Cricetulus griseus: one gene and its partner. The protein of the gene in region 1 purifies or fractionates together with the protein of each later gene. This does not show direct contact. Links are inferred from orthologs where the notes say so. Each region holds a gene or a part of one and is shown in the gene's direction. Other genes may lie near its edges. The genes, in order: Cry1 and Fbxl3.

What was found.
Region 2: the proteins of Cry1 (region 1) and Fbxl3 purify together in Homo sapiens (affinity purification with mass spectrometry; 4 studies listed by BioGRID and IntAct, counting the BioPlex papers as one, with this or other methods). This does not show direct contact. The link is inferred for Cricetulus griseus from reciprocal best matches to the Homo sapiens genes CRY1 and FBXL3.

The regions. Positions count from the first base shown.
Region 1 is NW_023276806.1:150,311,998-150,314,871, forward strand, and holds the end of Cry1 (cryptochrome-1), read left to right. Parts: intron 1-244; coding exon 245-316; intron 317-392; coding exon 393-496; 3' UTR 497-500; intron 501-1,566; 3' UTR 1,567-2,192; downstream 2,193-2,874.
Region 2 is NW_023276807.1:254,746,386-254,750,214, reverse strand, and holds part of Fbxl3 (F-box/LRR-repeat protein 3), read left to right. Parts: intron 1-862; 5' UTR 863-863; coding exon 864-1,211; intron 1,212-3,829. UniProt on the Homo sapiens protein: Substrate-recognition component of the SCF(FBXL3) E3 ubiquitin ligase complex involved in circadian rhythm function. Plays a key role in the maintenance of both the speed and the robustness of the circadian clock oscillation.

The DNA.
Region 1 (2,874 bases):
CACACAAAAATACATACATGTAAAGACTACACACAAAATAGAAATGAAATACAACCAGTGGTTTTGCCTTGTCTGTCACTGGTCAGCCTGAACTTAAAGTTTTCTTGATTTTGAGATTGTGATCTTTGGCTCAGAGTTAAGATTAAGAAAAGTTAAATACAAATACTTATAAAAAAAACAGGTTTTATAGTCCTAATGTATACATCTTAAGTTTTTAAGTCATTTTCTTTTGTTTGAAATACAGGTTGCTCTCAAGGAAGTGGTATTTTACATTATGCTCATGGAGACAGTCAGCAAGCTCACCTGCTAAAGCAAGGTAAGGGGAAGCAAGCACTCAAGATCACTGCGCCCCCTCCTGGCCCCACCTCACACGTGCATTTGTAAATGTGTAGGAAGAAGCTCCATGGGCACCAGCCTCAGCAGCGGGAAGCGCCCCAGTCAGGAAGAGGAGACACGGAGTGTTGATCCCAAAGTCCAGCGGCAGAGCAGTAACTGACATGGTAAATACTTAGGTTTTCTCTCCTGCTTTAGTATAGAACTAACCTGAAATAACTAATGAGGACTGTTCTATTCTCTGGCATATAAGCAGTTGTCATAGACCCTGTTCATGAATGAACAGGAGAGACGCTCCTGTATTGGGCAGAACACTGCACCCAGAACCATGCTCCCTGAATCCAGTCTTTCACCCTGAAAAGCTTTGGTTTTGAGGAAGACAAGGTTTTCATAAGATATGACTGTGAGCCTAAAACAAAGGAGCCTCCTAATTTCAAAAACTTTAATATAATTCCTCTAAAACCTTCACCTCAAACCTTTACTTAAGTATTGATAATTAAGGAGAGAAGGGGTTTGAGACATGGTCTCTGTATAGTGCAGGCTACCCTTGAACTCATACACAGGCTAGTGTCATACTTGCAGTGGTCCAGGCTAGCCTCATACTTGCAGTGGTCCTTCTGTGTCATTTTCCTGAAGGCTAGGATTGCACAAACGTACCATATGCTCAGGTCATGCATTATCTTCTCTGCTGTGCTGCTTCCAAAACCTAAGTCATTAATTTTTAAGCAATGCTGGGCCTTTTTAGAAGTATCAGAAATTGTGTCTACATCCAATTTAATTGAATTTGTGATACTATTTTGTGACCTAATAAGGAAAGTATTTACTAGCTACTTTTGCCAGCTTATTTATTTATTTATTTATTTATTTATTTATTTATTTATTATGTATGCAGTATTCTGCCTGCACATATCCCTGCAGGCCAGAAGAGGGCACCAGATTTTATTGCAGATGGTTATGAGCCACCATGTTGTTGCTGGGAATTGAACTGAGGACATCTAGAAGAGCAGCCAGTGTTCTTAACTTCTGAGCCGTCTCTCTGGTGGCCTACTTTTGCCAGTTTTTAAAGATTATTTTTCATATTTTTGGTTATTGGAAACTGTTTACATTATCACCTAGTTTTTTATGTCACCTAATTATGAATTTCTTGAAGTTAAAATCAGTAAATGCGTATCAGTTTTTTATTATTTAACTCCTTACAGCCAAGTTTTCATTGGTTTTTCCTTTAAATCACAGGAAACACGAAGGAGGAGTTCTGGTGCAGCTGAAGTTGGTGAGCCAGTCAGGACTCTTCATTTAAATTATTAAAAATGTCCTTCATTCACAGAAAACAGATTTTGAACATATTATTTCTAATAACATTTCTGTGGTTTTTAACTTTTTAATGAATATCACATAGGACAAGTGCTAATTTGTATATAAAGAACTTGGCAAAAGGTTTGCTTAATGTAAATATAGTCACAGTTAGTATAGACTCATCAGTATATTTTTGATAATTTTTCATGTATGGTAAAAGTTAAAGTTAACAGATATTCTGATATAAAACTCAAGTTTTGAGAGTCATTGCAGGAAAATGGGAAGTTTTTAGACTTTCTTAAAAGACTTTGTTAAAATTTTAGGACACATTTTTCTTGACATCATTGTTTAACCAATTCTGCAGTGTTTGATAGTAACACTTTAGAAAACACCTGGAATCAATGAGTAGGCGATGCCTCTGTTAGCGTGGACAGTGCCTGGTAAAGCTGCGTGTACAGCTGCTCCCACTCACACTGCTGGGCTGTGCTCGGTTCTCTTTGTCTCCCCATTTTTTGTTCATTTATAGCTGAAGTGACTTTGTTATTAAAGTTTATGCAAATATGGAATCTTGTGTACTTGGTGTTCATTTTTTCATCTTGTTTGTTTGGGATAAGAGAATTGTGTGAGATGTGATGCAAATTACAGAGACAAATACTAGAAACCACATGTCACCATTTTGAATGAAAGAATAGGTTTTATCTAGCAAAATGGAATTTTTCAGAGTTATCTGAAAGAGTCTCATTTGTTTGTATCACTTAATGGTTTTATTGCTGCAAGTTAGGCTGCGTGAGTCATCAGTTAAGAGCATGGGTTCCAAAGTCAAAGCCTGTCTTCTCTCAGTTGTTAGCTTTGAGATATTGGGCATGACCTTGCCTTTCTGTCTTCATCTTACCATCTTAAAATGGAAGTAAGAATAGTATGTAAAGTATTCATTTGTACTGCAAGGCATACAGCCCAACCAATCAATGTTAGCCTGGCTCCCTGGGTTGTACAGGCTAGCTGCTGCTCCCAGTCACCCTCCCTACTGGGTTCCATTAGGCACCTTCATACTAAAGTCACCTCATTTATACTAATATATACCAATATAACCACCGGTTCTTTGTTTTCCTCTCCTGAGTAGTAACAAACACTCCGCATAGTAGGGGTGTGGCTCATGTAGGAGAGCATCTGCCCAGAATATGTAAGGCCCTGGGTCTAATCCTCAGTAGCACACACACACACACCACATATACATAAATATATATGCAC
Region 2 (3,829 bases), on another chromosome or scaffold:
AAGGTGTGTGCCACCAATGCCCAGCAAGAACCCTGTATCTTAAGGTCACCGTTTTACAAACAGGAACATCTGACAGTCTTGTCATTTACCCAAAGCCATACAACTAGTGAGAAGGGGAGCAGAGACTCAAACTCAGGAAGCTTGGTCTTAGAGCTTCTAGTCCCATTGGCTACGAGAGCAGATCATCTTTTCAAGAAGCAAATGGAATGAAGTGTGTAATGTAGAAAACACATGGAAGTGTTATTCAGGAAAAAAGGAAAAGACAGGGAGAGCAGAGTGACAATAATGAGTTGAGGGAAGAAACCACATTCCAGCTGAAACAGTGCAGTCAAGGTGGATTGCCTTAATTATTTAATCTGTTTTATGCTGTTCCAGGTTGAGCACAGGCCTGGAGTGGTTCGGGCAAGGTCTTTAACATTGGGTTATGCTCTAGCCCAAGTTTGGACATATGCAGCCGTACTGGCACTTGTCACAGCTATTTATTCAGTGTAGATCTGTTGACTACTTACCTTTCTTTCATCCTCTCTAGAGGTTCATAGGCACCTTGATCGACTTGACATTTAAGAACTCAAATATAGTTATCCTTGGGTGACTGACGAAATTGGAAAGTATCACTATAGGCTCTTTTCTAGTCACTTTCAGTATTGAGTACAACTCTTGAATCATATATCTGTGGTTTTCTTAGGTCATAAGTAGTGGTTGAAATCACCTCTCTCTATTTTTATATTCTCCTTGAATCATTGATTCAGTTCTGTGTGTATTTCTGTTAACTCTCCAAATGCAAATAGGTCTCAGTGACAGAAAATGAATTTGTGATTAAAAGCTAAGTAGGATGGGAAAAATGACGGATTTTTCTAAATAGGATGAAACGAGGAGGAAGAGATAGTGACCTTGACTCACCTGAAGAAGGCACTGCAGAGAAACGTAAGAAACTGAGGACTGCACATGAGTGTTCTCAACCTTGTGATTGGGGTAATCTGCTGCAGGACATTATTCTCCAGGTGTTTAAGTACTTGCCTCTGCTTGATCGGGCTCATGCTTCCCAAGTGTGCCGGAATTGGAATCAGGTGTTTCACATGCCTGACTTGTGGAGATGTTTTGAATTTGAGCTGAATCAGCCAGCTACATCTTACTTGAAAGCTACACATCCAGAGCTGATCAAACAGATTATTAAAAGGCATTCAAACCATCTGCAGTATGTCAGCTTCAAGGTAATACTTTAACTCCTTCTGTTAAAAATAAAGCATTTTTAGAGGCTTTAATGTTCTAACCAATACAACTTCTTATGTCTATAAAATATTTGACTCTATAGGGAAAGTGCTTAAAGTTTTGAAATTATTGCACACCTTAGAAGCCATTGCAAACATTTTTTAATATTCGATAGAACTAAAATACTCCTTTACAATTAATTACTTAAAAGAACAAAAGCAGTCACTAAGTGAGCATGAATTGACTGAAGTTTTAAGTTAACAGCGAATGGTTAACAACAAATTTGAGGAAAGAGCAATGTATCATTAACATTAAGGCAGTGGTTCTCAGTCTCTGGGTTTTGACCTCTTTGGGGGGGGGGTCATATCAGATATCCTGCTTATCGATACATACATTACAACTCATAACAGTATCAAAGTTACAGTTATGAAATAGCAATGAAATAATTTTATGGTTTGAGGTCACCACAACATGAGACAGTATTACAAAAGTTAGGAACCACTACATTGGGGAATGATTACTGAGCAGAACTTACTTGGCTATTTTATCTGCTTTTGTTTCATTTTGTTTTTCAAGACAGGGTCTCTTGGTGTAGCTCTGGCTGTCCTAGAACTCACTCTGTAGACCAGACTGGCCTCGAACTCTGAGATCTACCTGCCTCTGCCTTCGGAGTGCTGGGATTAAAGGCATTCGCCACCACCACCCAGCAAGTGTTTCTTATTTTGATATGTTTTCATTTTAAAAAAGAAAAAAAAAAAGCCCTAAATCTAAAGATGGTATAGAATCGAACTTTTCAACTTGAGTGTATTTTAGAGGGAAACGGAAGAGGGGGATTGCTTCATTTCAGTGTTACAAGGGGCGAGTAAGAGCACGTGTAATGGTGAGATGAGAGAGAGCATGTGTCATGCTGAGATGAGTGAAGGAAGGTGGTATTTGGAGATTTGAAGAGTGTTATATGAAATCATAGGAGCTTGTGTGAGAACAAGGGTTTATCATGTTGTATTTTGGGATGCTCACTGAATCCTTGATACTAAATTTTTCTTTAACAATTAGCGTTAAAAGATGAAAATGTGCCGGGCATGGTGACTCTCACATGTAACTTTAGGACTGGGGAGGCTGAGGCAAGAGAATCAACTATTTGAGGCCTCCCTGGGCTGTATATAGTAAGGCCTTCTCTCTTAAAAATGTTAAAAACAGCCGGGTAGTGGTGGCACACACCTTTAAGCCCAGCACTTGGGAGGCGGAGGCAGGCAGATCTCCATGAATTTGAGGTCAGCCTGGTCTACAAAGTGAATTCCAGGACAGCTAGGACTGTTATACAGAGAAACCCTGTCTTGAAAAACAAACAAACAAAAAAACGTTAAAAACAAAACCCAAAAAAGTAAAAGCATAGAATTGCCTGTCATTGCCTGACTTGCCTTTGTTTCCTGTTTGCTAAAGGAATTGGGTTAAATCTGTAGTAAGCAGTGGTCTTCACCTAGACCTTTATGCTGTTACTAAATACTATCTGTCTTCTGGTAAGATAGGAGAACTTGTAATAGAAGTGATTTGAGTAGATTGTAAAAGGTCCTTCTGTATAGTAGGCTGCCTGGGTCCTTGGTGTTTAGTCCTTATAGTCACTTACAGTCCAGTGATAGAGCTCAGGTACATCCAACTTATGGAACTCATTTGTACTTAAATTACTTTTTGTCAGGGATGTATTTTGCCATTTCTGATTTAGAAAGCAGGGACACAGCAGGGATTATTCTGGCCTCTCCTGATAATAGTTAAGTGGTCACTGTAAACTCAAGAAAACTTTAAGCCAAAACAGTGCTCCTCAGACTGTGCTCAGTAGCCTCACCAAGGCGGGTGTAAAGGCAGAGCTTGCGCCTCCCACTCACCGACTTTATAATTCAGATGGTTTGGTTTAGGATAAGAATTTGCTTGTATCCAGTATCCAGATCATTGTCATGTGGTTTGGGAACCTCATTTTGAGAGCTGTGATTAGTGCATTGTTTGCCCACATGATAGCAACTTAAGAGCTCCTTTGGCATGCAATAAAACACACATTTACTTGGGAATGAAAGTTACGGTATTTAACATTTGTAGTCTAGAGATAAACTAACTTTTACCCTTCAGGTGTGGGTGTTTGATTGTATTGTCCTTTACTTCGGGGAACTAAGCAGCAACCTCTATTTTGGTTCAGTTTATTTTGTGCTTGTTTAATTGGACACTCTTACTTTTCTCTAATGCATCTTTCAATTCAGAACACTGAGCAATGTCAGGTTATGTGGTTCATCTGAAAATTCTAAATGACATTAGTGTCTTCAGGTGTCCTGAAACGTAGACACTATTTACATGTGTTGTTTGATTTACTCAAGTACCAATTACCACCTAAAGATGAAATTGATTCATTTTGTACAGTTACTTGAAATAAATCAACTTAGTCTTTTAGCACTGAATAAGTAAATATATATAGGGATTATAATGAACTCTTGTGAAAATTAGACTCAGGTTATGTGGAGAGATGATTAAAGATGAATGTCCTTTAAATGATAATGCACTGATAACTAACTACCTTTCTTGCTTTTATAAAATTAAGATATTCAAAGAGAAATGTGGCTGTTCCATGAGTAAGACA